Linked DNA regions of Ovis aries. The protein of the gene in region 1 purifies or fractionates together with the protein of each later gene. This does not show direct contact. Links are inferred from orthologs where the notes say so. Each region holds a gene or a part of one and is shown on either strand. Other genes may lie near its edges. The genes, in order: PTPDC1 and PPP2R1B.

The links.
Region 2: the proteins of PTPDC1 (region 1) and PPP2R1B purify together in Homo sapiens (affinity purification with mass spectrometry; 3 studies listed by BioGRID and IntAct, counting the BioPlex papers as one, with this or other methods). This does not show direct contact. The link is inferred for Ovis aries from reciprocal best matches to the Homo sapiens genes PTPDC1 and PPP2R1B.

What each region holds. Positions count from the first base shown.
Region 1 is NC_056055.1:27,517,382-27,533,801, reverse strand, and holds part of PTPDC1 (protein tyrosine phosphatase domain-containing protein 1), read left to right. Parts: 5' UTR 1-6,052; coding exon 6,053-6,353; exon of another isoform or gene 6,354-6,571; intron 6,572-6,837; coding exon 6,838-7,009; intron 7,010-9,060; coding exon 9,061-9,141; intron 9,142-9,365; coding exon 9,366-9,484; intron 9,485-10,674; coding exon 10,675-10,812; intron 10,813-12,521; coding exon 12,522-13,777; intron 13,778-16,420. UniProt on the Homo sapiens protein: May play roles in cilia formation and/or maintenance.
Region 2 is NC_056068.1:21,765,560-21,781,979, forward strand, and holds the start of PPP2R1B (serine/threonine-protein phosphatase 2A 65 kDa regulatory subunit A beta isoform), read right to left. Parts: upstream 13,805-16,420; 5' UTR 13,788-13,804; coding exon 13,674-13,787; intron 12,797-13,673; coding exon 12,706-12,796; intron 12,302-12,705; coding exon 12,201-12,301; intron 9,039-12,200; coding exon 8,806-9,038; intron 8,520-8,805; coding exon 8,372-8,519; intron 3,984-8,371; coding exon 3,828-3,983; intron 3,166-3,827; coding exon 3,051-3,165; intron 2,631-3,050; coding exon 2,560-2,630; intron 2,209-2,559; coding exon 2,074-2,208; intron 1,351-2,073; coding exon 1,177-1,350; intron 1-1,176. UniProt on the Homo sapiens protein: The PR65 subunit of protein phosphatase 2A serves as a scaffolding molecule to coordinate the assembly of the catalytic subunit and a variable regulatory B subunit.

The DNA.
Region 1 (16,420 bases):
GGTATCGATATCAAGGAAGGACTGAGGAACTTGTTCTAAAGTGAAATAAATGAGAAGACAACTAAAAGTGTGTGATTCTAAACGTTGTGTAGTATGATTTTACTATAAAGAACATTGAGATAAATCAGTGGAACTTGTATGAGGTCTAAGAAATAGTGGGCAACTAATAATATACAATTATAATTTTCTGATTTGGGGGAATTTTGGAGAATTTTTTGTGGGAAATATACACTAACTTATTTAGAGTAATAGAGCAGCATATCTGCAGCTTATTCTCAAATGATTCAAGAAAAAAAATTTTTGTATTATACATAAAACTTTTCTATAAGTTTGAGATTGCATCAAAAAGTAAAATCCTTTCCAAATATTTTTAAAATTAAAACTAAATTGTTCAACTCTGTTGAATGTGTGCTAAAAAGTAAAAATAAGACAACTATAAAAAGGACCATCAGAGACCTTCAGTTCAGTTCAGTTCAGTCGCTCAGTCGTGTCCAACTCTTTGCGACCCCATAAATCGCAGCACACCAGGCCTCCCTGTCCATCACCATCTCCTGGAGTTCACTCAGACTCACGTCCATCGAGTCCATGATGCCATCCAGCCATCTCGTCCTCTGTCGTCCCCTTCTCCTCCTGCCCCCAATCCCTCCCAGCATCAGAGTCTTTTCCAATGAGTCAACCCTTCGCATGAGGTGGCCAAAGTACTGGAGCTTCAGCTTTAGCATCATTCCATCCAAAGAAACCCCAGGGCTGATCTCCTTCAGAATGGACTGGTTGGATCTCCTTGCAGTCCAAGGGACTCTCAAGAGTCTTCTCCAACACCACAGTTCAAAAGCATCAATTCTTCGGCGCTCAGCTTTCTTCACAGTCCAACTCTCACATCTATACATGACCACAGGAAAAACCATAGTCTTGACTAGACGGACCTTAGTCAGCAAAGTAATGTCTCTGCTTTTGAATATACTATCTAGGTTGGTCATAACTTTCCTTCCAAGGAGTAAGCATCTTTTAATTTCATGGCTGCAGTCACCATCTGCAGTGATTTTGGAGCCCCAAAAAATAAAGTCTGACACTGTTTCCCCATCTATTTCCCATGAAGTGATGGGACCAGATGCCATGATCTTCGTTTTCTGAATGTTGAGCTTTAAGCCAACTTTTTCACTCTCCACTTTCACTTTCATCAAGAGGCTTTTTAGTTCCTCTTCACTTTCTGCCATAAAGGTGGTGTCATCTGCATATCTGAGGTTATTGATATTTCTCCCGGCAATCTTGATTCCAGCTTGTGTTTCTTCCAGCCCAGCGTTCCTCATGATGTACTCTGCATATAAGTTAAATAAGCAGGGTGACGATATACGGCCTTGACGTACTCCTTTTCCTATTTGGAAGCAATCTGTTGTTCCATGTCCAGTTCCAACTGTTGCTTCCTGGCCTGCATATAGATTTCTCAAGAGGCAGGTTAGGTGGTCTGGTATTCCCATCTCTTTCATAATTTTCCACAGTTTCTTGTGATCCACACAGTCAAAGGCTTGGGCATAGTCAGTAAAGCAGAAATAGATGTTTTTCTGGAACTCTCTTGCTTTTTCCATGATCCAGCAGAAGTTGACAATTTGATCTCTGGCTCCTCTGCCTTTTCTAAAACCAGCTTGAACATCAGGGAGTTCACAGTTCACATATTGCTGAAGCCTGGCTTGGAGAATTTTGAGCATTACTTTACTAGCGTGTGAGATGAGTGCAATTGTGCAGTAGTTTGAGCATTCTTTTGCATTGCCTTTCTTTGGAATTGGAATGAAAACTGACCTTTTCCAGGCCTGTGGCCATGAAACAGATCACAAATGAAAATAGCAAATGAAGTCAAATTTTCTTTTTAGAAGTTTATCTGTAAAGGGAAGAAGGCAGGGGTTGGGGGACTCTCTGAAGAAAATGAATTATAGTGAAGGATCTGGAAGCAATGACTATTAATGTTTGTAAAAATTAAGATTTGCAATGGGGGAGTCTTGGAGAGGTTCTGTCTTCAGATATTTGAAAACCTTGCAAGTCAGAGAGATGCTTTATTTTTCATTTTTAACTTCCCTGATAGCTCAGTTGGTAAAGAATCTGCCTGCAATGCAGGAGACACTGGTTCAATTCCTGGTTCAGGAAGATCCCCTGGAGAAGGAATAGGCTACCCACTCCAGTGTCCTGGCCTGAAGAATTCCATGGACTGTACAGTCTGTGGGGTTGCAAAGAGTCGGACACGACTGAGCGACTTTCGCTTTCAAAGGGAGGAACCAGGACCAATGTTTACAGAGAAATGGATTTTGACTCAACAGTAGGAAGCATCTTGAGCTGTCAAACAGTTGAATAGTTAATTTCCTTGTGAGAAATGAGTCTCATGTCACAAAAAGTGGAAAAAAGAGGAGCTAAAAAGTCAGTGTTCTAGTCTAGCTCCTGGAAATGACTGCTTTATTGACTTAGGACTGAGACTACATAGACATGTGACTAAATGGACATGAGACTCTATGGACATGTGTATGAGCAAGCTCCAGGAGATGATGAAGGACAGGGAAGCTTGGCGTGCTGCAGTCTGTGGGGTTGCAAAGGGTCGGACATGACTGAGCGGCTGAACAAGAACAACAACAGCCTATCTCTGTGGTTGTCAGAAAAAAAGTTTTTTTAGCTTTTAGATGTCTATTGAAAATATGGCCCTTCATAAAATTACTCTTGCTTTAAAACACTTCCATTTTATATAAAACATGAAAAATACTAGAAATTAAGTAGTCTTGTTGCTCCTTTTAAGAAAAAGGCTTCATTTTTTTTCCAATTGCTAATTTAAATAAATATTAAAATGTTAGTCTGAACAATTCATCATTAGCAATCTATATGATTCATCCCAATTTAAAATTTTTAATTGATTTTTAGGATGTAATACAAAGTCTTACAGAGGTGTGAAACAAAAAGTATGAGTATTAGTAACTAAATTGATCCACAAAATGAATAAAATAACTATTTTTTAAAATAATACAAAAAAGAGAGACCAATTTGTACTAATTTGGTACAAGTTCTAACATGTTTTATTCCATGAATTAGAAGATAATCCCTTTAAAGTCATGGCATGATTGCTTTTTGGCAACATTCTATGAATGAAAACATGGTTATGTGGAGATATGGATTTCTGAGGTCACGGAGGTTGGCAAAATAGCTTATCAGGGACAGCATCTCTTGATCTTTATTTTAATGCTGTGTTCCTCTCTGACTTCAGGAAAAACCTGTGATTTGCTATAAAATATTACTCCTTTCCACTTGTATAAAGTTAGTTGTTCAAACATGTAAAGTCAAGTAAATAAAAATATGAGCCTTGCACACCAGTCATATCATCTCTGGTTTAATGAAGGAAAAAATAGAAGTAAAAAATTTTAATCCTGAAAATATATAATACCTTATTTTTAAACAATATAATAATAGCCTAAATAGTCAACAGCTAAAGAATGACTAGGTAAATTATAATGCATCAAAATCTTGTGCATCCACTAAATGAAAATAAGACTAAAGCAAAATGGGAAGGTGTTGGCTATGCTGCTTAGTAAAAGCAGGGGAAATTATTTGCAATTATGACTACAAATAAATAGAAAATCTACGTGCCTGTGGACAAATATTGAAAGGAAGATGAGTTTAGGGGTGGAATGAAAGGTACTCTTCCCTATTGTAACATCGTTTGGCATAAATAAAAACTGATTTTTAAAGGTGGATTTGGCTATGAATTGGGCATTTTTAAAGGAGTAGTTTGGAGCATGCAGTAGTGAGGTTGACAGTTCTGACATGTCTTGGGGAATGGAGGCCTCTGCTCTGTCTGTCGTGCCCACAGGTGGGTAGCACTCCAGTTCAGCACCAGACAGTGCCAGTGTATCCCAGCACCCCTGGGTGCCCCAGGTGAGTGAGCAAGGCAAGAATATGCTGAGAGGGAGGGCTGCAGTCACCTTTTGGATTCCTGTTTGCTTTCACTCTACTTTACTGAAAGCCCAAACTCAGTGTCCCTGTCTGGTAACTCAGCCCACTAAGTGGTTGCATATTTATTTGAGGCCAGACCAGTTCTTAAGATTTCACAGCAGAAATTATTCCTGAGATGATAGAAAAATCTTCCCTTCCTTAGCTTGGTCCAGACAAGTCCTATCCTCATCAAATTCATTCTCATTTTCAGAACTGTTGAGCGCAGAGTCACTTGGACTCTCATGTCCTTAGAGCTGCACAGATCAGGCATTTCCTGCTCACTGGTTGAGGCCTCCTAGTTGCTGCCTCACATGCATTTTCATCTCAGATGGAGATTGCCTGCTGGGTTTTCTATGGCACCTTCTCGTTATGGACTGCATATTTACTGACTTAATTGTCTTGTTGCTGCTCGCTTAGACTTGAAGTCTTGGCATGCAGTGCAGTGTCCGCCCCTATACTATCTTGCTCCCACACTTACTGTCACTGTCCCAGCAGGCCCTCAGTCCTTGACTTCAATCCCTGTCTTTGCAGGGAGTGTTAACCCTGAGAAACTTGAGTCAGACTCCTGTTCCCCAACAGCAGACTCAGACTCCTTATTTTGAGCATTTAGGGCCTCTTGACATCAGGTTCCAGCATGCTTTCCTCACCACATCCTCTGTACTTTCCTTTCCTTTAAAACTGTGGAAGCTGTGCCTTCTGAATAGACTACATTAGAAGAAATTCTTTTTCATTGCTGTTTACAAAATGACAGGGGCAGGATGCTACACTCAAATTTAGACACCAAGTTGAGCTGCTGTATCTTATTTGACAAAACATATCCATTTGGAGAAATGGGGATGTGTTTTAAAAGGAGCAAGTTTTAAAGCATTATTAATTATTAAAATAGAACAGAACAAAGCAAAGAGCCCTATCTGTGACAATAGTTTGTTTCCATCTGCACATGGCCAGAATACCATTTGGAGAAACAGAAAGAGAAAAAGACACGGGGTGGGGTGAGGGTGTTGCAGTTTGACATTAACAAGAGAGGAGGCGGACAATGGGTGGTTGTTAACAATTTCTGTGTTCTTTATATCCTTTATCCTCAAGTTGCAACCTCCCCCTCATCCAGTTCCTTTAAAAAATGTGATACTTAGTGGATTTTCTTCCTGTGTCTCTGCCAAGACATTATTGAAGCTTCTCTTTCCCCTTAGTCAGCAACAAAAGACACAGAAGCATGTCTTTTGAGTTTTTGAGGGCTGTAGTTATGACTGCTGTAACTATCCAATAACCAAGAATTGGATTTTCACATTCTGAAAATAGAAATATGAAAATAAATGTCTTTGGTTAGTATACCAGCCCTCAAGATGTCTTTATTTCTTCTCTCCAAGCATTTCTTAAGTTGTTCTATAAAATAATAGAGGGTTTCGGGCTTCCAAGGTGGCCCACTGAAAGTCTACCTTTAGTGCAGGAGATGCGAGTTCAGTCCCTGGGTCGGGAAGATTCCCTGGAGATGGAAATAGCAATGCACTCCAGTATTCTTGCCTGGGAAATCCCATGGACAGAGGAGCCTGGCAGGCTATAGTCCATGAGACTGTGAAAGTGTCAGATATGATTTAGCAACTAAACAAAAAATAGAGGGATTTTTGGCTTTGAAAAATGATGTTTTAATAATGTTAGAGGTATCTAATATGTCCCACTTTATTACAACTAACTTTTTATCTGCCCTGTTCCAGAGAGGAGTAGAAAGAGAATATTTTTCAAAATATTCAGAGAATAGATAAGAAAGGAAGAACAAAATTTTGGTATTTTAATAATGTGTGTGTTTGCATCATAAAGACATTTTTCTAAATTCATTACAATATTTTAGATATAATTCTCTGAGCAGTCAGATCTTTTTGACGGTATTTGAGAAACAGTAGAAAAGTCACATTTTAGGTATAATCTATTTAAAATACATGTTATTCTTCCCTGTATTCGAACAATCTGTTCAAAACACAATCCATTCATAAGGGATTTTGCTTGTACAGATCTGAGTGGGAATCAGTACTTTCTTTGTTTGTCACTATGGAAACAAGTCAGCCTATCCTGAACAGCAGTTAGATCACGCAGAGTGATGCTCACATCTCAGTGTAACTTCATCATGGAGCAGGCTGGCGCTGACATCTCGCCTCCAGCTCTTCCCTCCTGGAAGCCCAGCACCATGCAGGATCCACCCCGGAGGCTCTCTGCTGTGCCATTCCTCAGCTCCTTTTTCGAGGGTCGTCGCCACTCTGCCTCTGACCCTATCCTGCGGCTGCAGCAGGGGCGGCGCAGCTCTGCTGCCAAGGTGCTGTCCTCGTCCTCTCTCCAGGTGATGGTGGCCATGTCCTCTGTCAGCTGTGCTGAGAGAAACCCAACTTGCCCCGAGAGAAAAAGTAAAGCTCCTTTTCTTCTTAAAGATTGACACACTTTTGAGTTTAAATACAGTGATTGTGAAGAAGCTATGCTGTGTTTATACCTTTTAAAATTTTGAGAATTCTGTGTTATACTTTCTATTGTCTGTTATGCTAAGAGATTCAGTAGACATGTAATAGATAAAAATGATTGAATGTTTTATGTTTTTTTTCATTAAAAATGTAGTTCTTGTGTAAAACTCATTTCTTTGTAGAAGATCTGCTGTAACAGTTTGTTCCTTTTCATTACCAGTACCCCATATGGAGATTCTTGTGTGCAAGGGCCTTTTCCGAAGTAAAGGATAGTGCACTTATATGAAAGGGAAACAGTTTTATTCCTGACAAAATGAAGGGGATTTAGCACCAACTTGTCATGCAATCCTGAGAGAAATTGGAAGCTCTTTCCCTTGTTACTATTCCATTTGGGGAGCAGGACTTTAAATCTTCCCTTCTTCGTCTATTCTAGGAAATTCAGGACGTCCAACGCCAAAATATACAAAAGTTGGAGAGCGTTTGCGGCATGTCATTCCTGGACATGTGGCCTGTTCTGTGGCATGTGGTGGCAAAGCTTGCAAGTATGAAAATGCAGCTCGCTGGAGTGAACAGGAACAAGCTGTTAAAGGGGTCTACTCGTCCTGGTAAGTGATTCTGTCAGTCTTTGATAGCTCCCACCTACTGCTAAGTAGGAAAAGGAAATGGAGTTGTAGGTGATGGCCAGAGGCAGTAGCCTGTAGAAGAAAGAATGTGGGATTTTGAAGTAAGAGGGCCTCACCTTCCATGCTTGGCTTTCCCTCTTGACCATCTGGCCTACTCACAGGCACTCTGAACCGCAGTTTCCTCATCTGTAAAATGGAAATAATGAAACCAACCCTATAGGATTATTTGTTTTTAATAAAGTAGAATGTTGTAGGTAAAGTATCTTAAAGAATTGGTAACTAGATAGATTTTAAATTTCATAGACTGCTAGAAACAATTAAAATATTCAGCTATAAATTTGAGAAATTATGAGGCATATAGGTAGTTTTTCACTTTCATGTAGGTGAACTTTAGCCTCATTTTTATTTTGTTCCTGTACTCTGTATAAAAGGATACATTTTCATACAAATACATACACTTCCAGTCTGCCTCAGTAGAGGGTGGTATAAGTTGTCAGTTCAGTAGATGATGTAAAATGCTTTCATTGTTTATGGTATGTAAGTGTAATTCATTATTGAATCATGCTGTTTTTATTATTATTAGCAAATTGTCAAGTATACCTTTTTTGATATAGTGATATCTTTGAAAAATTCTGATATTTAAAACCATATTTGGAATGCACTAAGAAGAATTCAATATTTAAATAACTCTGCTGGTGAAGCATTTTATAGAGTAAGAATCCATGTACAAATCAGATATTTGTCAGCCAGTTTACTAACCTCCAGCCCTGTACTTTTTCACATTGGATTTGTTGGGTACATGTGTAGTGTTATAGTCTGGGGTCCACTGTCATTACCTTCATCACTACCTTTCTTAAAGAGTGTCATGAAAAAGCAAACACTACTCCTGAGATGTGGCCAGACACATAAATTTATAATAATGCAGCTTAAGGTCACATTAACATTTCTGGTTTATTGTTGACTAAACTCTCTTGTTTTCACCTCTGCTGCTTTCACATTACATCTCTCCTAATCTTACACTAAGTGCTATTACATTTGGGGGATCCCAAACCTTCGTGGTTCCCTGTTTTTAGATATTGCCCCAGTCATGAGAGATGGTATCTTTCTGAATCCTGACCTGCTCATCTGATGTCTCTATTACTCCTCTCAGGTTCTTGTAACCCACAACTTGTGACAGTCTATCTTAGGTATCTTTCACCAGACCACTGGTGAGAAATTTGATCAGAACAGAGGGAAGTTAGAGCCCTAGTGAGAATGACAGCCATTTACTGGGCCTCTGTCCATTTGTACACTCAGTAAACATCCATTTGGTTACAGGCCAGTCACAGTGCTAGACATTTTCAAATTATTGTGGTCATAAAACCCTTTTAAGTAGGCATTGTTAGTGTCATCTTATTGATAAGGAATTGAAGTCCAGAGAGACTAAGTAATTTGCCACACAGCTGGAAAATAGAAAAGCCAGCATTTGAAACCAGGCCTGACTGACTCCAAAGTGATTTTTTTTTTCTAAATCATAATAACTCAGCATTTATTCATAACCACATGCCAGGATTTATGCTAAAAGACTTTATAGTCACATCATATTGAATTCTCACACGAACCCTATGAGGCAGGCGTTATTACCCTCACTCAACACATTAGATAACTGAGGTATAGATGACTAAAGTAACTAAAAATGCTTCCCAGCTGGCCCTCCTTATTTAGTCAGTAACCTCTGGATAACTAATCCAGGATGTTACTTTTGCTGCATGGAGCTGAGGTTTCTCCATCATTCTGTCATGGCCGCTAGAATCTCATGAAAGTCCTTGAAGATACTTTGCTGGAGCCCATAAATACATTATGTTCTGGAATTGTTTCCAGGGATTTAAGAAGTGAGGGTTTCGTATAGCCCTAATCATAATACAGAATTGAAGCCAGATTTGTATAAGGAGATTCTTATCTTACAGTATTGTTGAAATCAGAGAAAAAGTAAGGGCTTGAAATCTTACTTTCTCAGTTCTGTGCATTTCATCAGTCCCTTCTCCCATCTGTAGGGTCACTGATAATATCCTGGCCATGGCACGCCCATCCACTGAGGTCCTGGAGAAGTTCTGTATCATTGAGCAGTTCCGAAGGTAAATGTCACATGTTTAGACACTGTAATAAGCCAGCTTATGTCTTCTTTTCCACTGCTTTTGACTTAAAATAGAAAAGTCCCTTCATTTTACCAACAGAAATGTGAGGAACTTATCTCAAGTAAGATAAAGTTTTAAGAGTAATGTTTATTAATACCAAAAATGGTTATTTTTTGTTAACACTACCTCCCCAATATGACTAATTTTCTTCTTTTTCCTTTAAGCCATGGGATAAAAAGTATCATTAACCTGCAGCGTCCTGGTGAGCATGCCAGCTGTGGGAACCCTCTGGAACAAGAAAGTGGCTTCACATATCTTCCTGAAGCTTTCATGGAGGCTGGCAGTAAGTCTTTCCAACCTCCTTTCCATACGTTACCAAGGACAGAACTCAGAGACTTTTGTCTGCTCAGTTCTTAGGTTAAAAAGGTGATGGAAACAAAGTTCATGCACAGTAGTAGGGCTTCTGGAAAGTGAAGATGAGATAACTTTGTCTTTAAATATCTTATTTAGTATTGGTGTTGAAAGTACAGAATTTCTTTTTTCCTGTGAGAGAGATCTTGAGAGGAGATCTTGTAGAAATAATACCTGCATAATTAACATAAACAGTATGTCAGACCTATCATCTTATTTAATCCTTAAAGCATTCGTGTAATGTAGTTGTTCTGAGACTTCCCTGATGGTCCAGTGGCTAAGACTGTGCTCCCAATGCAGGGGGCCTGGGTTCCATCTCTGGTCAGGGAAGTAGATCCCACATGCTGCAACCAAGACCCAGCACAGCCAAATAAATAAATGAACGTTTAACTATATATATATATATATATATATAGAGAGAGAGAGAGAGAGAGTTGTTGTTCTGCTTCACATATGAGATCACACAGACTGAGGAAGTTCTGACTTGCCCAGGATTTACACAACTTAAACATAGCAACAAGATTAAAACCCAGGACTTATTTGTGCTTTTTCCTACCGCATAGCTCTACCCAGTGGGTAGGATGTGGGGATTCTGTATGTGACAAGTCCAGAAGCTATCAGTCACAGGAGCTTTAGCATAGAATCCCCTGAACATGTGTCATTCACACCAAGCTAGAAAGGATCAACCTGTGCCACTTCTACAACTTGAAGTTCATGCTAGCTTTTTATCCCACTAGTTAGAAAAATCTGTATGTGCCACCTCATGTCATTTATCAGTCAGTCAGACATGTTTCAGTGCTTAAACAAGGTTGCATGCTTTCCCTCCATGGTAGAGTAATTTTGGCATAGGTCATCAACTTTAATTTATAATCCTGCTTTTCATTAATTATTTCTGAGTTTCAGCAGGAAATGTGTTAAATAACACAGAACATGCTTTTTAAGAAATGCTAACAGTAAATTTACTGGAAATGGGAAAAGCCTGTTATTTTAGGTCTACACATCCAGTGAGATCTGCGTGTTTTACAGCTGTATACTTTTCATGACTTCACTCAGTTTTTTCAAATGTCTTTGCAAGTATTTCTCCTATATGTTGATTTCTTCTTGTTCTTTCTCATTGTCCAGTTTATTTCTACAACTTTGGATGGAAGGATTATGGTGTAGCGTCCCTTACCACCATCTTAGATATGGTGAAGGTGATGACATTTGCCTTACAAGAAGGAAAAGTAGCTATCCATTGTCATGCAGGGCTTGGTCGAACAGGTAAATTCTAGGGGGTGGTTTTATTGCCTTTCTGTGTATTTAAACATATAAGGAAAAACATTTCCTAGTTCTTAAGGATAGTTTTCAGATTCCTATCGAAGGTTTGGAGTCAAATGGAGCAAGTCAATAAAAGATACTTGAAATATCTTAAATAGATAGTTTCAGTGACCATATATCCATGAGAGTATTTTTTGAATGATTTAGAGTTAAAACTGCATCATATTGAAAAATAGGTGGGTTTCCATAGCTAGCTGAATGACCTTTCTGATTTTCTTCTTTCAAGGAAAAAAGTCAATACTTTTGTTTTTAATACATAAGTCTTTTTAAAATTTTATCTTCATTAACCAAAATAATAATGGAAATAGCAAGCATTGTTTCATCCAATAATCTTTTTAAGTTGTTAGCAACACTGTAAGTTTTGAAGGAGGTTAATTTGCTGTATCTAAAGTGACAGGACCATGATTTAAAGCCACTGCTATAAGGATTTTGTTTGTAGAGTCTTAACTGTGCCTAAGTTCTGTATAAAAATCAATGATTTTACTTTAAAATGCAGCAGAATATCAGTGCAATGCCAAACCTAGGGCACAAAAAGGATGGAATCTTCATTGGTCATCTAAGCCAGCCCCCAGACACCAGAGTTTGACTCTGTTTACAATGTACCCATGTACTTACCGCTGGCCTTCCCACTTACTGGGGAGGGGGATGGGGACGTAGTTCTGCTTCAGATTGTCAGCTCTCATGGTTGAGCCAAGATCTCACTGTTCTAGGGATTCCATGTGATAGTTTTGCAGACATATCATACTTGCCCTAAAGAACTGCCTTATCCTAGTGAGAAAGATATGTTGGACCTTATGTCATACTAGGAAACCAGGCATTTTTCAGAGGTTCTGATTTTCGTGTGTAATGAGATTCAGAAACTTCATGAATCACACAGATGTCTTTTGATTTGCCTTTTACTTGATGTTAATTAACTGTTGTATTTAAATTAATTTATCACCTTTTTATTATTCATTTCAGTTTAGTATTAATGATAGTACATAATTTTTACACTGTTAATGTGGTCTTCCTTACTATTAAGTACTTATAGAAAAGTATCTGTGGTCTGGAGGAAAATATATATTAGTTTAGGCATTAGTTTATTCTTAAAGAAGAAACTTCAAGAGAGGAAATAGATTGTGAAAATGAATAGTCGCCAAAAATAAAAACACCCAAGTGGGAAAAATGCAGGTCTGGAATGTGCCACCAATTGATGTCAAAGCTGAAAGGGCTGGGAAGTTCCAAGCAGAACGTATGGAGTGATTGAATAGAAATTTTTAAGGACTGTTCAGAGTGGAAAGCAGTATTGGCTTTCTTCCATGTTGGAGTTGGGCATAATGAGGATAAATGAACCAGGTCATCAGTTCATTCAGTCATTGCCCTCCACACTCAGCCATCCTTCCTTACTCCACACCTGCTCAGGTTCACTGTGACAGTACTTGTGCTTGCCCTGTGGTACAGAGGTGACCAAGGGTTCTAAGTCAAGGGGAGGGTTACCATAGAGACAAGTAAATAGGTGAACCCGTGTACCAAAAGTTTAAGTTATCATTGTTCTTAAAATGTTCCTATATATATATGGTTTCCTAATACATATTCAAATTTTAAAATCATCAAAGAGTATAACTAAAAATATAAATTTTTCTCATACCAATCTTCATTTCTTCATTGTTTAGGTGTTTTAATAGCATGTTACTTAGTTTTTGCAACAAGAATGACTGCTGACCAAGCAATTATATTTGTTCGGGCAAAGCGACCTAATTCCATACAAACTCGAGGACAGCTACTCTGTGTAAGGGAATTTACTCAGTTTCTGATTCCTCTTCGCAATATATTCTCTTGCTGTGACCCCAAGGCACATGCTGTCACCCTAGCACAGTATCTCATTCGTCAGCGGCATCTGCTTCACGGATATGAGGCACGACTTCTGAAACACATACCCAAAATTATCCACCTCGTTTGCAAATTGCTGCTGGACTTAGCTGAGAACAGGCCAGTGGTGACAGAAGAAGTGGCCGACATACCTGGCCTCTCAGCTGAAATTGAAAAGACTGTTTCTGAGATGATCACAAGGCAGCTGGATAAGGAGTTACTGAGACATGACAGTGATGCATCAGACACTTTCACCCCCAATGCAGTGGTGATGGATTTTGAGAATCAGGATGTGGTTCTTTCCAGTGAGCAAGAGTTGGACCCTCTTTGGAAGAGGCGGAATGTCGAGTGTCTTCAGCCCCTGGCTCATCTGAAAAGGCAGCTCAGCTACAGTGACTCAGATTTAAAAAGGCCCGATTCGCTTCTGGAGCAAGGGAGGACTCCATGGACAGTGCCTGCCCAAGCCTTGCTTTGCCATAATCCCAGGCAGCAGAAGCACATAAGCCGTTGTTACTACCCACAGTCTCCACAACTAGATTTAAGTAAGGAAACGCTGGTCCGCAATACATATTCTTTCTGGAATCACACTAAATTTGGAGTCCCAGAGGGACTCAAAGATGATGGGTCATCAATTTTCCATAGGACGAGCATTCCAAAGGAAGTACAGAGAAGTAGAACCTTCTCTTCAGGAATTTCAGGTTCATACAACCCTGGGGAACCAGTCGCACCAAACTTTGCAAATATTCCTAAGGGACCAAACTGTTCTCAACAGAAAGTGTACCACTGTGAGTGTGAAAGTCACGGTGGTCGTGGCCTAAGCTCTGTTGCAGAGGATGGTGAGACTTGCCGCCGCCCTGTGGACTGTGGGTCCAGTCCCAAAGCACAGTTCTTGGGGAATGAAACTCAGAACAGCAAATACCTGTGTGAAGTTGCTGCACATATGGCTTTACAGTCTGAGTTGAGTGTTGAAGCAAGGAGAATACTGGCAGCCAAAGCCCTGGCAAATTTAAATGAGATTGCAGAAAAGGAGGAAGTGAAAAAGAAGGTAGAAATGTGGCAGGTATTTGTATTTCATTTAATTATTTATGAGTAGGAAATATTTTTGTCAGAGCAAAAGTAAAACACTTTCCCAAGTTCATTTGTTTTCAGGAATTTGAAGACATTTTGGTATAATACATAACTTTTGAATGTCAAGTTACTCAACCGTAATACCAAATTGCTGTCATTGAAACAACAGACACAGGTCTCTTGTATAGGTTCATTTCAGTCTCTGTGAAAGAAAGCACTTAGTGCTCAGCAGTCATCAGTGTGCTTGACTGATCATGGCAATGATAGTGATTGATGACAATAGTTTCCTTCTTCCTTGCTGGGCCTGTGGGACTGATGGCCAGATGGATAGACAGCTGTAGGAACTGACCTGAAGCATCTCTAACCTGAGCCCTAGCAGGGAACCACACTTGGAGAACCCCGAGCTGAGAGAGAAAATGAAATAGAGACAATTCTTTCCCAAAGCTCATTAACCCAAGTATCAAGTAAGGACAGAAAGATGAGTGATGAGTGCTGACTGCTCAGCAATCCCTCCCCAGCCCACCAAACAAGGCAGGTGTTGGATTCCGGAAAGCAAATGGGAGTGGCCACAGAGCCCCTGTGTCCACTAGTTTTATCTGAGATTGAGTTCCTGAGTTCTATTTCTTGGCTTTTACTTAAATTAGAATGTGACATTTTAAACTTTAACATCGTTTTGTGTTGTACTTTTATGAGGGAGATGCCTAAAATCATGCTCTCTGCCTAGAATGAGCAGCTGATTAGAGAGAAGACAAGCCTTATAAACCTAGTTATGGTAAACTGCCCAAATGTAGGGCTGACCTGGGGAGGCCTGGCTCAGTGATATTTTGGCTTGTTAGCCCATAATGTACCATGAATTATTTGTAGCTGCTTTTCCATCTCCTACCACGAATCAAGCAAGGTGTGTACACTTTCCAGGAGGTCAGGCCTTCCAGATGCAGAGGCAAGAAGAGGAGGCATGGAGCCTGCCTTCACTTACAACTGTTTGACAGGAGGAGAGCACTTCCACACATGATTTTTTCATCAGAATTGTAGTGTTTTGCTTAATCAATAGTTAAACGTATTGCTGTCTTCCAACATGAAATATTTTTCTTAATTTCGTACTCCAAGCTGAACAAACATTCACTCAGTAGGCGGGTCTCCTCCGCCTAACTGAGCCACAGTAGCTAGCGGCAGGACCTCCAGTTTCAGGCTCGACAGCTCACGACCCCACCGTAGGTCTGCCCCACATGACCAAACAAACAGTTTGAACACATAATATATACAAAAGCATTTTCTAGATGTAGATACAACTCTATCCTTTGGATAGGTTTGCCTTTTTTCCTTTCTGGATTTTATTGTGGGTCTTTCAGTAATAAAGAAAATCAGTTGAATTCTGTGTATCCCTAAGGCCCTTTCACATTGTTTCATGTGATTTTCACAGTAATCCTGTGAGACAGATGATACTATTTACAAATTCTTTGTTAACCTTTCAGTACTTACAAACTAAGTATCACAGGTGAGAAAACTCAGAGAGGTCAAGTGATGTGCTTGAGGTCACGTGGTCTGAATGTAGCAGAGCCAGGGTACAGTTAATGTGTTTAATACTTTTCATCATCCCTGATGTTTTTCCTAGCCCCACTGGAAATTTTCAGAAAACAGCAATGATGTAATGGTCATTTTACTAAGAGGGTCTTTGAGTCATGTCGTTTCTGCATAACATAAAATTGAATAAAAGCTACTCTGCTATGTACGTGAGCTATGAGATATGAAGAACTATGCATAACTAAAAGTTTGGGCTTATTTAGGAGAAAATAAAGAGAAACCAGTGCTGGAGGACCCTGATAGCATGAGAAAAACATCACAGACTGGGGTAGAGCAGATCTGGGTTGGGAATGTGCTCTTTTAGTTTGGGCTCCTGGGCAAGTTACTTCTTTCATGAGCCTCCCAGTACATTCATCAGTAAAGGGGACTTCTATGCTGGGTTGCTGTAAGAAGCAGAGAAAAGGCTTGTGTCATCATTCCTGTCATACTACAAGTTTTCTATGAGTATTAGCTTGGGTGAATGAATGAATGGTGGTAATTATTCTGCTTATTACTATTGCAAACTTATATTTTATTTATTAAAACATAAATCTGAACCCTCTCAGAATAAAAATAGTTACCTTACTTTTCCCCCTACTCTCTGTGAGGTAAAGTTTTAAAATCTCCTTAAATTATCTCCAGGCATTTGGAGTATTGGCAAAACTTCCTAGTTGTTTTACCCTATCAAATTCAGAATGCAGGACTTGTTAAATTTTACATGGGATTCTAAAAAGGAATTTGAAAAAAATAGGTTATATATATCATATTTATTAACTTTTTGGCACTTTTATACTTTTTCATTTACCATTCAACTTCCTTGCAGTAAATATTTGTTTTGTTCTAAGGAGCCTGAAAAGAAAGTTTCCTTCTTGAATTGTTTCTGTGGTTTCTGAATGAAATGGAGAACTCGGGTTAACTAATCCTTCTTAGTATCAGAAGCATTAACAGCCCTCTCAGTTTATTCAGCCCACCAGTGGGGTGGGGATGAATTTCACAAAGGGAAACTGAGGCTTAGAGAAATCAAATGTCTTAGCCCAGGGTAAAAGTGGGACCATTGGGAGGGGTTCCAGTCCCC
Region 2 (16,420 bases), on another chromosome or scaffold:
ATGTGTCCTAAGGTAACTGCTTCTTTGCTTTACACCATCTTAAGCTTGCAAAAGCGCTCTTAGGGATGCTCTACTTTCAGACAGTGGGGAAACCAGTACACTGCTATCTCTGGCATCTATTATGGAGAATGGGACACTTCAAGTTTTATAAAACATGATCCCACAGACATGCACAAATTTCATAAACTAAGTACACCAAAATAACAACACAAACTCAGTAGTCCAAGAAAAGAAAAAATAAATCTCATATGCTATGATATGAAAGGAATAAAAGTGAAAGAGGCGAAACAAAGTGCAGTAATACTAGCTATAAACTGACACATTGTGAGCTTTCTCAAAAACTAGTCAAGTATTCATTTCTCTCAACAATCAACAAATGTTAAGTGCCTGATTAATGCCAGGCACTATGGGAGGCCCTGGAAATAAAACACTGAACACAGCCCTGCCCAAAAAGAGATCAGCTGTCTATCTCCTCATCTAGATTTTAACAGTTAATAATAAAGTGCAGCCACCATGATGAGGGCACATCACACCAAACTCAGAACTGACTAGGGTACCTGCTATAAGAGAAAGGAAAGGATGTGGCTATAAAACCCAGCACTGAAATTTTAATTAACTTGTTTTCAATAAAACTATTCATAAATCTCAAACAGTAACAGATAATGTGATAATACAAACTCTGGCCAAAATATCAGCATTACAAACTTCAATACTCCTTTTTCATATGGGGAGTCCTCAACTCCCTTTAACCAGAATGCAAGAAAAGTGGTAACCAGAGACATTTGCTCAGAGTACAGGCAGAGAGGGAAGCTTCCCTGAGCAAAAGTCAAATCTCAAAACCATACTCCCCTTTCTTCTCAGATAAATATTCCTTAAGCCACAGAGTCATTAAGTATCACAAAATCTATGTGACATATACCAAGAAATTATATATTCTTCTGTGGCTTTGCTTTCAGATGGTGGGGAGGTGAAATGTGTTTTTATAATACATTTTTGTTAGATGCAAATGCACTGATGAAAATGAAAACCACTCTACAGGCAACTGACAGAGACCATACTTTCTCATGCCTCTAAATGAACATAACCACATGAGCCATGTGGGCCTCCTGCTGGCCCTGGGGAGTCTGCTCCACTACGTGATGCTATCCTTCAGCTCACAAGAGCGCCCACACTCACCAGCTGGCCCGCCAACAGTGGCATATACTCGATGATGGCCAGCCGGACCCTCCATTTGGCATCTTCAGCCAGCTCCACTATGGCAGGGAGGAGTGACTGGGAGAGCTGCCGGATCCCAATCACTTCATTTACACAGTCCAAATTGGAGATGATGTTCAAACGAACTTCAGGACACTGCAAATACACAAGACCCAAAACAGCACATATAAAGATCAAGTTCTCTGATCAATATTCTCCTACCACCATGATGAGCAAATACATTTTAAAATGAGAAAGTGTTGACTTGCATGAAAAAACTATTGTCTTGGAAGAAATACTTAATACTGAGTACATAAATAATTCAAACTGCACAATTTAATTGACTTAAAACTCTCAATGAAAAGTCTATGAAATGTAAAGAGCACATAAGCTATGAAATCAAATTACATGTATTCAAATCCCATATCGACCCAGCTGAAACTTCAGGCGGCTTATTTTACGTCTGTGCCTCACCTTCTTCGTCTGTAAAATGGGAATAATAGTAAGACCAACCCTCAAAAATAAGATTGCTGTGAAAATTACACATAATAATAACACATGCAAAGCACTGATGATCATGCCTGGCAAACAAGATAATTTTTATAATATTATATCTAAATTTAAATGAAACTTTTCAAATAAAGATCCATTAAGTTTAAAGATAAGAAAAAAACAGTGAATATAATCAGGAATTAGGCAGAGAAGATGGACAGCCATTTTTACGTCTGTATCAGTGGCCCATTTTCTCAGGAACTTGTAACTCCGTGCCCAAATGCCATCAATGGTTTAAAATAAGTTACTTTTTCAGTGACACCCCAAACAAAAACCAAACCAAATCACCGACTATCAAAGGACAACAAAATTTACAGCCAGACTCACCTCATCCTTTAACTGAGCTAAAAAGAGAGGTAGAAGATGTTCAATGGTATTCTCTTTGCCCAAAATGGTAGACAACCCCATAATTACAGAAGCTAGAGCCGACTTGACATGTTGATTTGTATCAGACACTAATTCCTAGAATAAAGTCAAAATTAAAAGCCTTTAGTTTTTTTGCAAGACAACAGAAACTTCCAAATGACTTCTCAAGGAATTTTAAAAGATAGCGCTCTTTCAATACTGATTAGTCAATAGTTTCCTCAGACCATCTGTCAGATAAAATAAACCTATGCAAAAAAGAGCATTTTGCACTTACAAAATATTAATAAGTAATAAATAACAGTGTCACACATTAATATAACTGTCCCATTCATCCCTGGTCCACGTTTAAATTCAAAGAGCTTTAAAGTAATACAAACAAAAATTGAGGTCAGGTTTACCTTCACACAGGGCAAAGTGTAACAAAAAATAAACTAAAGTTAGGTTTACCTTTATATAAGGCAGAATTTGATTCATAATCATGGTCTCTCTACCTTCCATAGGCAAGTTCTCACAAAGTTCTAAAATATACAAAGAGAAAAAAAAAATGCTTATGTAGAGCCATTTACAAGGAGCCAAATGAAGAAATTTAACCAGATTTATCAAGTTTCAAGTTAAATCAAATCATATGTTTAAGCAAATAAGTTCCAAGGAAGAAAAATGGCTGCTTTTAAATGCACCTTTTGGTCAATCTATATGCCACTGTGTACCACACCAATCCAATCTGGATTGGATACTTTTTTTTTAAACAGAAGCTATTTGGTTTTAAATAAATAAGGGAGTAGCTTTATGTGACAATGTTAACATCTCAACACATTAAAATCATCACTATTTTTCTGAAAACATAATCTGTAAGACCAAAAAAAAAAAAAATACAAAATTCACTGACATAAAAAAATGCACCAAAGTGATCTAGTTACAACATAAACTGACACCTTAACCTTTTACTTTATGGGCAGCAGCTGCTCGGACTTCAGCTTCACAGTCTTTGAGTAGGTTCTGAAAGGCGGGGATGAGGTCATTTAGGGTGATTTTGGGACCCACAGCTTTCTGGAGCTATAAAAGAATTTGTACAGGTTTTAATGCACTCTAATCAAAATAACTTAACAAGCACAATGCAATCATCAAGTATAGACAGTCCCCAACTTATGATCGTTCAACTGAAGATTCTTCAACTTTAGGATGTTGTGAAAGCAATACACGTTGACTAGAAACCAAATTTCACGTTTTGAATTTTGATCCTTTGCTGGGCTAGTGCTATGTAGCACTACCCCCTGTGATGCTGGGCAGAGTGGGGAGGCCAGAGCTTCCCGTCAACCATGGAATCACAACGGGGAACAACCGATACACTTAAAACCACTCTGTTTTTCACTTTAAGTACCAGTATTGAATAAATTACGTGAGCTATTCCACATTTTATTATAAAACAGGTTTTCTGTTAGAGTATTCTGCCCAACTGTAGGCTAATGTAAGTGTCCTTTAAAAGTTTAAAGTAGGCGAGGCTAAGCTATGCCGTTCGCAGGTTAGGTCCATTAAATGCACTTCCAACTGAAGTGGGTTTCTCAGGACATAACCCTATCATGAGTCAAGGAAGGTCTATGTATATTTTTGCCTCAGGCACTTCCAATTCAGAAACTTTTGGTTATGACAGCAAATCTGTGGGTTTCTGAGGGTTTTCTTCCTTTTAGTACTTAAAAAATGTCAGTGCACTACTTTACCTCTGAAAATTTGTCAGCTACCATATAGCGAACTCGCCAAGATTTATCTTCTGCTGCTTGTCGAAGTGTAGGCATCACCAAAGCCTCAATGTCATCCTGAGACAGTAACTGGGCAATACTGACACAGGCTTCCACAGCTAGCAGGCGCACTGAATCCTAATGAACAAAATTCCTTTCTGTTAGACAGTATTTACTGAGAGCCATGAGGCAGTGTGCGGTTGTGGTAGTGCTTGGGTGTCCTTAAAAAAAAAAAAAAAACAACATTATAAGCAGTTCATGTCTTTATGTCTTGAAATAGCTGTTCCCTTTGCCTGAAATGGCAAGGCAGAAATGACTGTTCTCTGAGTGAACAGCAAAGTTAACGACGTTAGTTAGAACACAGAATTTTTAGTAAGGAAAATGAAATAAAAATGTAAAGATTATGTGAGGCAAGAACATTTTAATGATGTCTCTAAATCCTCACTCTAGGAAGCTGAGCATTAAAAATGAAAACCATGCTTGTACCAGTTGTTTATAGAAGATCAGAACAGAGGAATAGAAAGGGGATAAGGGTAAGGAATGGCAATAATTCGAGTTTAGGCATGAGATAATGACTTGGAAAAATACACAGAAAAACAAAAATTTTAAGTAATTTTTAAAAAACATTAAATTTAAATGCCGATGATCAAGGACAGAATAACTTTTGAGATAGCCAACCCTAGAAAACCCAGCAGAAAAAATTAGAAAGGGATTAATGAACTCAATTTCCCAAATGTAACCTGCCAAGTACCAACCTACTATCTATATATCCTTTGTAAAAGTAGTAATATACAAATAGATAGATCAATGAAAAATCAGGAATTGAGACTATAGATTGGGGAATCATAAATATATTAGTAGGAAGTGGAAATACATAAACATCTGAGCCCCCAGATGAAACGTCAAAAACCGTAAAAGTATGTAACATACTTATACGTGTGTACCTGTGCACACGCAAGCACACAAGAGGCAACAGTACCTCCAGCTTTCCAAAATATTATACATTTTAAAAATTATAGATCAACAATGACCTACTACATGCCCAAGATACTCACTACCCTATCTAAATGAACAGGCTAAAAAAGGCAAAACTTTATCTTTGGTACTGGTCATACAGCTATTTTCAGATTCCAAAAACTATGCTGAATCAAGGAGCTACTTTCATCGATGTAAATACACACACCCATCAATACTTTTTCAACTAATCAACTACTCTTCTCCCACAACTCCCGATTTTCTTCCCTGTATCTGCTACTCCTCCCAGAATCTTCTCCATCTTGGCAGTGACAGCAGTATCCACCCAATTTCTCAAGTAAAATCAAGAAATCTTGATGTCTCTTCCTTTCTTCCAACTCAATCACAGTTCTACTGACCACCTCCAAACCGATCACCAGATTCTTTCCATCTTCACCATGCCACCCTAGTTTACCACTGTCTCTTGTCAGGATTATTGTAAAAGTCGCCTAACTTGTCTTCGTGTTTCTATTCTCACCCCTCACCTTACAATTTAGTTTTCCACCTACAAGCCAGAACAATCTTTTAAAATTTTAAGTTACATAAAATTACATCCCTGATTAAAATCTTGGTGTGTTCTCATTATACCTAGAAAAGAAAACCCAAACTCAACACACTGTTTAAAGGTCCCCCACAATCTGGGCCCTGATTGAAAAGTGAAAGTCGCTCAGTCGTGTCCAACTCTTTGCAACCCCACAGACTGTACAGTCCATGGGATTCTCCAGGACAGAATACTGGAGTGGGTAGCCGATTATCTTATCCAAATTCTTATCAGAGTCCTTTTCACCCACTATGCTCCAAGCACAGGATCTTTACATACACTGAATGTCCTCTCCTCTTGGAATTCTCTTTTCCTAGAGCTCTGACACACGTGGAAAGGGCGTCGCCGGCATTTTTCTGTTCAAGTTTCAGTTTATGGCACCTCTTCATGGCCGTTCTCTGACTGGCCAGTCTAAAAGAATGCTTATATTCACGCCCCACCACTATGGTACCCTATCCAATTCCCAACAGTTTTTACGTTTATTTGGCTGCACTGGGGTCTTAGCTGCAGCATGTAGGATCTTTTGATACAGCGCACCAACTCTCTAGTTGTAGCACAAGGGCATAGCAGCTGTGGTAGGAAGGCTTAGCTGCTCCACAGCTGATCCAAGCATGCTGGATCTTAGTTCCTTGACCAAGGATCAAATCTATGTCCCCTGCATTACAAGGCAGGTTCCCAGCCACCAGGGAAGTCCCTCCATCATCGTTTTGATCCCTAATATTTTATCTGTTTACTGTGCTTTCTTTCATTAAAATATAAAGGGCACAACAGCACGGTCCCTCATTTAACACTGAAAGCCAGCATGAAGAATAGTGCCTGATTCACAGAATGTACTCAATAAATACTTTCTCAGTGAATGACTAAGAAAGGAGCAGCAATTCTATCAGTGGTCACAGTGAATACACACACACGTTACAACTAAACAAATAATTCTTTCAGCATCCATTGCTGTTAATACCACAACAAGACATGCCTCTTGATGAAAAGCAGCCTCCATCTAACAAAGTGATCTTACTGCCCCCAAAATATCAAATCAGCTCTCATTAAGCCTCTAGATCAGGGCTGAGGCAGATATTGGCCAAATATGGAAAGCAGCTAGTTTCTGTAAATAAAATTTTCCCAGAACAGCACCATGCCCGTTAGTCTGCATATGACAGTGTGTGGCACACAACAGCAGAGCTCTGTAGTTACAACAGAGACTGTCTGGTCCACAAAGCCTAAAATATTTACTATCGGGCCCTTTACAGAAAAAATTCACAAATCTCCACTCTAGATTCAACTACCAATTTTGCAGGACAAAAGAAAACATTGCGTTATACCATGGGAAATGTAATCAACAAAATCTCAAATAAGGATTCTAAACCTGTGCTCTCCAATGTGACAACCATTATCCTACTTACTCCCTACTTCTGAGCGCCTGAAACACAACTAGCGCCACACATTCTAATGGTAGTTACTCTGGATATACTGGGTTAATAAAATACATTATTGAAATCAATTTCACCTGCTTTTCACTTTTTAAACTATGGCTACTGTGAAACTTAAAATTAACAGGTAGCTTACATTGTATTTCTGTTAGATGGTGTTGTTTTAAACCATACTTTATGAATAGTAAAAATGCAAAGAAAAGTAAGGAGGTGGTTACCACAAAAATCAAGAAACAGTGTTACAGTCTTAAGGGGGTAGGGAGTAGGAACTGGGAGGGGAGTGTGTTTGGGAGGCAGATCATGCTGGGCTTCCTGGATAATGGCTATCAAAGTTCTGTATCCTTTCACAGACGAAAGTTACAGGATAACATGCCTTGTATTACTTAAGATGCATATTCACTTTGTACTGCTTTGTATATATTATTTTAACAAATTTAAAAAATTATTTTGAAAGATTTATCATCTTCAAATCTAGAATCTGAACATGAGACTCAAGGTATGTATCTGCTGCTCTGGATCCTGTAAACATACAGTGATCTGAGGGCAGAACTAGGTAAACTGTTCTTCTAGCGTCCAGGAACTCAGGGCGCTGATTCTCCAAAGCACCATAAGAAGAGCACTACAGCTCAGCAATGAAGGTCACAACTCTGGAGCTAAGCTGCCTAGACTCAAGTCTGCACTCCAACACTGCTCACTATGCAACCATGAGCAACTTACTCCAATTTCCTGTGCCTGTTTCCAATTGGGGCTGTTGTAAGGGCTGAATTACTTCACATATGTAAACCACTTAAAACAGGCTGAAAAAGATTCATTTGGGTGCTTACTAGCATATTATTATTGCTTTTTGCTGTTATTTAGTCGCTAAGTCATGTCTGACTCTTCCGCCACCCCATGGACTGTAGCCTGCCAGTCCCCTCTCCAGTGAGATTTCCCAGGCAAGAATGAACACTGAAGGGGGTTGCCATTTCCTTCTCCGGAGGATCTTCCCAAACCAAGGATTGAACCCGCGTCTCCTGCATTGGCAGATGGATTCTTTACTAGCACTGAGTCACCAGGGAAACCCATTATTATTGCTAATTTCTACACTGATGAGATGGAGATTCTTGGATTTATAACTGCCCTCATACAAAGTTATCCCATACACTCATAGAGAGGATGCAGAGGGTCAAAGAGCCTTCCCAATACATGCTATGCTTGTTTACCTGAATGCCAAAATTCCAGGAAACATTACTGTCCCACAATAACTCAGCCTGCAGTACCCAAAGGTATAGCTACTCTTTAATGTGGCTTTGGTCTTCCTTCCTAATTATGGCTCCCAATTCCTCAACTCCCCTTCAACAGATGCTAAATGGAAAAGGAAATCACAGTTTGGCTAAGAAAGAACTATAAGGACACTGGGATGGGTAATCTTAAACTTTAGCCAGGCCAGAATTAAGTAATAATTCTGAAAAAAAATGATACTAACATGAGAACCAAAACATCCAAAGAAATTCTTCAAATGTAAGCGCATATTTGTGTACTTTAATTACTAAGAGTTAACCTACCTGTTCATCTGAAGCTAGATTAGTAAACAAAGGAACGATTTCACTTTTCACACTGTCTAATTCCAAAACTTTTGCAAATTCACCCAATTTGGAAGCAGCAGCACGGCGTACCATTGGTGTGTCGTCTGAGCACAAGGAACGGAAGTACCTGCAGCAAAATAATGAAGGTATTTCCTGTTACATGCCACTGATTAAGCATCCCCCCAACACATACAGAAATTTCAGAGGTTTTCTCCTACGAACATCAGGCATTAGACTTCTACTCACAGAAGTAACAAAGGAAAACCCACTGGTACCTTCACCTGGACATTGGTAACTGTTGTCATCGATCTGACTACCCTGATACCAGCCACTCACTGGTAACAGGGTAGTGTGTATCCTGTCAGCTGTGAGCTTCCAATAACCCCAAATAACTAAAAAATACCATATCTTACTGTCTAATTTCTCCTTTGACAGCAATGGAAGCCCTGGGATAGCAAACGCTGAACAAACCACATGCGGATGTGCGAGAGGTGAACCAATCCCCACTCGCTAAGCGTTTCACCAGAGGTACGAAGTGAGCCTCCAGAGCCACTGGCGTGTGCTCCTGCGAGATCTGCCTCAGGGACTCCACAGCCTTGTCTCGAACCACAGTCTCTTCCACAGTTGCCAGGCTTTCCAGAGGAGGCTGGATAGACCAAAATGGAAAACCAGAGAAAACTTACTCAATCAGGTTAGATACAGATTATCATCTTTTAAAGTGACTGAAAGGAGGTGGGACAAGCAACCAGAATGTTAGCTACATCACACCAAACAGTTACTCTCAGTTCACACGGTGATGGCATATGCTGTGTCCAACCTGAAGACACGATTTCTGTAGGACAGCCAAGGTTTCCTGTCCCAGATGGCAATTCCCAGATGGTGTCTATGAATGACATGGTAGAAGAGACCTGACACGATATTAATATCACTGTGAACTGAATCACTCAATTTAAAGGCTGTGTAGCCAAATTCGACAGAACCATGTGTACTTCCTCAAAAGTGAGTGCAGAAACATGACCACCACGGGGCACCACAATTACAGGAGAACCCCGCATCAGGACACCGAGTCCACGGCGTCTGGAGTATCATTCTACCGTTCCTGGAGGTGGAAGCTACCTCTGTCAATTCACTCCGCACCACTGACTTTTCCAAACTATTAAAGGCTGAGTGCAAAATTACTTTTCTCCGAATACACCCAGAATTTTTCCATGAGCCAGACACAGAGTGGGACGTTATGAAAGAACAATTAAGTTAAAGGTACAGAGACAGTAGGAATCCTTGCCTGCAGCTTTAGAAACAGTAGAGACCAAAGGGGTTGGCCCTGACTAGGATCAGTGAGTGAGCAGGGCACAGACCAGGGAAAAGTACAGAGGGCAGATTCTCTGAACTGCTGCTCTTCTGGGTTTGCACTCAGTCCGGGCAGATTCAGGATAGAGCATGAAGTGCCAATGTTAAAGACAAAAGCCACATGTAGAACTGACCAGGAGAGTGAAACAGAATTATGAGTCAAAGGAAACAAGGGAGTCTACATAATACATTTCAAAAATTATTTGATATAAGGTACTCAGCTTTCCTAAGGGAAATTTCAGAAGCCCTCTGAAAAGATACTGTTTTCTTAAAAGCAAAGGCCTTTCGAGTTCTGTCCACTGCCTTCTCTGACCTCCTCTCATGCAGTATCATTGATAATCTCTATCACTACTACGGAAGAGCAAGCTCCTGTCTCTTGATTAAAACTTGGCCTATTTCTCCATGACCTTTTCCCACAGCCCTGGGACCACCACTTCCGCCTACTCTAGCACCAACACTTTATACTGCAATCAACCAGTTTCACACTTCCAAGGCTCCTAAACTCTTTCTTTTAAAATGATAATTACTTTTAAATTCTAGCACTGTGGAGAGGGAAGAAATAAGGCCATGATTTCTTTGCGCTAGTTTACTTTTAGGAGGGGGGGTGTCTTTTGACTTTTCTTAATTTTTTAAAGATTTACTTATTCAAGTACAGTGGTCTTACAATGTTAATTTCTGCTGCACAGCAAACTGATTCAGTTATACATATATTTCTTTTCCATTATCGCTTTATCACAGGACATTGAATACAGTTTTATATTCTAATGGAGAAAGATAACAACTCATCAGGGCAATAACTAGATGGTGTTGAATGCTCTGTAAAGAGAACAGGGGGAATTCCTTGGTGGCCCAATGGTTAGGACTCTGTGCTTTCACTGCTGAGGACCAGGGTTCAACCGCTGGTTGGGGAACTAAGATTCCACAAGCTATGTGGTGCAGTCAAAGAGGGGGTAAAAACAAGGATGATGTGGTAAGGGATGAGTGGGGAAGAAATTTCAGGTTGAGAGGCCAGGGAAGGCATTGCTGAGACGCATTAAAGCTGGCATCTAAATGATAAGGAGCCAGTCACAAGAAGCTCAAAAACACATGTTATTATAGGGACTATCCAGGGCAGTAAGCTTGGTATATTCAAAGAATAGAAGGAAGACTATTGTGAATGGAATGAGGTTATTAAGAGGGAATATGATATGAGATAGGCTCATAGGGGCAAATTTTATAAACTAAGGTTCAAACTAAGGTAGAAATTATGAATTTTCTAAGAACCATGGAAGGGAGTGAGTGATCCATCTCTGGGTGAAGAGTGAACTGGAGTGGTGGGGCAGAAGGCATGAGTGGAAAGCAACTAGATTACTGCAATAATCTAGAGGAAAGACCACGTGGTCTAGAAAGACCAGTGGAAAGATGAGCTAAGTGGTAGTAGAGATGGAAGAAAGAGAACTGATTTGCAATACATGCAGAATCTACAGGAGTGACTGACGGATTTGATGTGGGAAGTGAGGGGAAACAGATTCAAGAATGTCTCCCAGGTTTTGGCTGCGCAACTAACTGGGTAGATGGTGATGCCATTTACTGCAATGGGACAACTAATTAGGATACACTTTGGGGAAAAAACTGCATTCTGTTTTAGACAAACTAAATTTGAAATGCCTGTTTCACACCCAAGTAGAAAAACCACAGCAGATATATATAACACAGATATTTATATCTTTCTACATATATCTATATCTGGAGCTCCATGGAAAGGTCAGAGGTAAAGACAGAAGTCATGAGAGTCAGCAATATAATACAGCCAATACTGAAGCCTTGAAGCATACAACCCCATCATCCTGTGCAGCTGTCAAATTCCTAGTCATCTTTCACACCCCAGTTCAGACATTCTCTCCCAAAGAGATCTTCCCCTATCACCCCGGGTTAATCCCTTTCTCTTTCATGTGCTTCAAATTTTTCCATCTAACACATAGTAATTACTTGTTGACACAAAAGGACAGAGGCCTTATTACACTCCCAAACCCTGGTGCTCACCTTTAACATGAACATTGTAACTTCAGTGACTGATATAGAAGGTTCTCAAATGAAATTCACAAAGGAAGTCAGAATCAAAAGCTACACTTAAAATTAAAGACAAAACTAATAAACATTTCCAAAGCCACAGCATTGTTAGATGAGAATTAAGATTTCCACCATAAGAGGGAAAAAAAACCATGAACAGAAACAATCCAGTCCTTTTTCTCCTAACTGCTAAAGTAACAAGTCAGAGAAGAGAAAGTTCCCACATTCACAACCAGAAAAATTAAGAAAGGTTGAGTCCAAAATGCCTACATTATTTGTTCTCTCAATAGCTAACACTGTGACTATCCCTAAAAAGATCTGCATAAAAAAATGCTGCACTGTGCCTATCACCAAACAATGTACTATTTATACTGCAAAAGTTCTAGAAGGAGAGCAGGCAGAATATACTCACCAGCAAACAGTGGGCAAAGTCAGGACCTCCCACCAGGCCAGTGAAATTTCCCAGCTGCTCAGCAAGAGCTAACAGTACCTCATCTTCATCATAAATTGTATCTGGAAATGACAAGAACCCAGTATTCATCAACAAGGATAGCTGGCCCAAAGCTGGACACTCATACAAAACTAGGAAGAGACTCCATATGTAAGTAGACGATCTGCCGCCATCCTAACCGCCTTTTCCTCCTTCTCAATCACGTGTCTTCATGGATTTGTTTTACAGAAGTAACTAGAAATTCATAATTACATATCAATTACTTTTCTATTAGCTAAATAGTTAATATCTGAATATGTCTGGCCACAACATTACAATGTATGCTCTGCCCTGTTTCTTCACAGTAGAAACAACAGGCTCAGTTTAGTACTTACTAATACTATGGGCAACAAATTCAAAATAGTCCAAGTTTCGAAAGCCATTGGAAAACAGAAATGCCCAGGCCTTTCCTCAAAGAGTCACATACCTGTAAGAAATGGCAGCAGTTCAGTTCGTGTCCTTTCTACTCCAAGCGCTAGAGCAATTGTTGATAATTTCTTAATACTATTGAGACGGAGCTTTAAAAAAAAACAAAAAACAAAAAAAAAGGTAGAAAGAAGAATGAAGTTAAGAAGCACTTGTGATTTAGACCAAAAGAGAGTAGCTGCAAACAGGTGAGGTAATGGCATACAGATAAGAAGGGGAAAAAACCTTTAATTTACACTTTATTCTATGAGGAACCTCAAAAACAAGGGAACACGCCTTCTTTAGCTAAAGTAAGATTTCTCAGGAGAAACCCTCTGACGGGCCCATTAAAGAAATGAAAGAAAATACAATATCTGGAAAAGCGAGACAATTTTAAAAAGAGAACTGTAGCAGTGGTAAAGCAGGTGAGATGGCTGAGTACCACCCCAGGCTTTTCAAAGAAAAGTTCCATCAGAGCTGACATCCCGCCTCGGTTACTTTAGCCACCCCACCTAATTTCTAATTTCCACTCAAGCCGGGCCAGTTTCCAGCAGGCCGCGAGGAAGGCAGTCATTCCCCTGCATTTCACAGGGCGCCTCGGCGTCCCGCAGCCCCTCGCGGCCCCGCGCCGCCCGCCTCCCGCTCGCCCCGCTACGGGCGCTGCCAGCCCCGGGCTGGACGCGGCGTCCTCACCGCCAGGCCCAAAAAGGGCGCCCGGGCGGCAAGCCGGTTCCCCCACAAGCACCCAGGACCAGGTGGGACTCCGGGCCGCCGCCTCAGCGGGTCAGAACAAGGCGTGCGGGGCAGGCTCCGGGGCCGCCGGGTCCTCACGGGTCCCTCATGTGTCTCTCCTCTCCTCCCCGTCAAGTTTCCGCTCAGAGTCCCGGCTTTCAATCCCCGGGCCTCCCCCAACCTCGGGGGCCGGCTGGCCCCCTTCCCTACCACGCGCCCAGCCAAGCCCGCGTCCGCTGCCGGGCGCGACTCCAATACCTGCACGTCCTCATTGCGAAGCTCGTCGATTAAGACCGCGATGGGGTAGAGCGAATCGTCTCCATCTCCGCCGGCGGCCCCCGAGCCGGTGGCAGGCCCCGCCACACCCGCCATGTTCTTCCTCCTCCGCCGGGTTACCGCCGCCCGCAGCGCGCCCTGGCCCCGCCCCGCGCCCTGGCCCCGCCCCGCGCCCTGATAGGCGGGGCTAAGGCCTGGGCTCGGCGGGAGCGGGAGTCCGGGAACTGAGTGCCTGCAGAGCAGGTGGGGACCCCCGCCCGGTCCCCTTTTCCGGAGCTGTAGGTCTGAACTCCAAAACACAGATGGGCTTAGAAGGCGAAAGGAGCCCCCGTGTCCTTTTCCCAGGAGAAAGAAATAGGGACAGGGATTCATCCTGCTCGTGCTGATCTGAAGGCGTCGGAAACCTACCTGAGTGACGTGTGCTGTGCCCTCTTAGGACTCAGGGGACCAAGAGGATGCTCGAGGCCAGGAGGAAAAAAGACTTAGCGCCTCCCTCCCCCGACTTCATCCTGGCCCGGAGCCATCTGGGTCTCCAGCCCTAATTTCCCCCGCTATATCCTCAGGCTTCCACAAGCTTCCACAGAACCCCTCCACCCCTTCCTCCGGCCTGTGCGCCAGAATTGTATCTGGCTCCTGCTCCCTAAGACAAATACCGCGGGCGGTGAGAGAAAATGAACAGTGCTATCCAAACTCCCCAGTCAATATTTTTTCCGCTTTCTCCATGCAAGCTGTTAAAAACATGCTGCTCTCTTGTTGTGTTTCTTTTCAGTTTGGTACTGGAATGCTGCCTTCTGTGTATTTTCTTTCTCTTATTTTTTAGGTCTTTAGCATGCTAGAAGTACAACAATCAAGCAAAACTAGGACAAGCTTTAATCCTTCCAAATTGGGTGAAGCGGCTACTTTGCTTGTACAAAAAAGGCTAACCTGACCTCTCTAGAACTCCAAGAGTCCTCAAAGGCAGCGGTGGGAGGAGGTCCAAAGGTATAAGAGTTCTTGCAAAGTTTAGTAGGAAGTTTCCATTTACCCTTGTGCAGGCAGCACAGAATAACTAGAATGTCCTGTCTTTTTGTTTTGGACTATAAGCGACTTAGAGTGATAGCTACCTGTGGTGATCACAAGCTCTGAAATGGTAGTTTTATGTGTCTGATGAATAAAAAAGGAAAATTATCAATAAACCTAATTTTAACTCAGTTCAGTTGGTCAGTTATGTCTGACTCCTTGCGACCCCATGACTTGCAGCATGCCAGGCCTCCCTGTCCATCACCAACTCCTGGAGTTCACTCAGACTCACGTCCATCGAGTCAGTGATGCCATCCAGCCATCTCATCCACTGTCGTCCCCTTCTCCTCCTGCCCCCAATCCCTCCCAGCATCAGAGTCTTTTCCAATAAGTCAACTCTTCACATGAGGTGGCCAAAGTACTGGAGTTCCATTCAGCTTTAGCATCATTCCTTCCAAAGAACACCCAGGGCTGATCTTCAGAATGGCCTGGTTGGATCTCCTTGCAGTCCAAGGGACTCTCAAGAGTCTTCTCCAACACCACAGTTCAAAAGCATCAATTCTTTGGGGCTCAGCCTTCTCCACAATCCAACTCTCACATCCATACATGACCACAGGAAAATCCATAGCCTTGACTAGACGGACCTTAGTCGGCAAAGTAATGTCTCTGCTTTTGAATATGCTATCTAGGTTGGTATGACCTAAATCAAATCCCTTATGATTATACAGTGGAAGTGAGAAATAGATTTAACCGACTAGATCTGATAGATAGAGTGCCTGATGAACTACGGGCGGAGGTTTGTGACATTGTACAGGAGACAGGGATCAAGACCCTCCCCGTGGAAAAGAAATGCAAAAAAGCAAAATAGCTGTCTGAGGAGGCCTTACAATAACTGTGAAAAGAAGAGAAGCGAAAAGCAAAGAAGAAAAAGATATAAGCATCTGAATGCAGAGAATAGCAAAGAATAGCAAGAAGAGATAAGAAAGCCTTTCAGCGATCAATGCAAAGAAATAGAGGAAAACAACAGAATGGGAAAGACTAGAATCTCTTCAAGAAAATTAGAGATACCAAGGGAACATTTCATGCAAAGATGGGCTCAATAAAGGACAGAAATAGTATGGACCTAACAGAAGCAGAAGATATTAAGAAGATGTGGCAAGAATACACAGAAGAACTGTACAAAAAAGATCTTCACGACCAAGATAATCATGATGGTGTGATCACTCACCTAGAGCCAGACATCCTGGAATGTGAAGTCAAGTGGGCCTTAGAAAACATCACTACGAACAAAGCTAGTGGAGGTGATGGCATTCCAGCTGAGCTCTTTCAAATCCTGAAAGATGATGCTGTGAAAGTGCTGCACTCAATATGCCAGCAAATTTGACACAGGACTGGAAAAGGTCAGTTTTCATTCCAATCCCAAAGAAAGGCAATGCCAAAGAATGCCTAAACTACCGCACAATTGCACTCATCTCAAACGCTAGCAAAGTAATGCTCAAAATTCTCCAAAACAGGCTTCAGCAATACGTGCACCATGAACTTCCAGATTTTCAAGCTGGTTTTAGAAAAGGCAGAGGAACCAGAGGTGAAATTGCCAACATCCGTTGGATCATCGAAAAAAGAATCTAATTTAGGGGACTTAAAAAAAAATGGCATTCTTGGAAGTAAACACAGTAGATAAGGCTTTTGATCATAGTGTAAGTATGGGAACCAGTGAATCTGAACAGTAA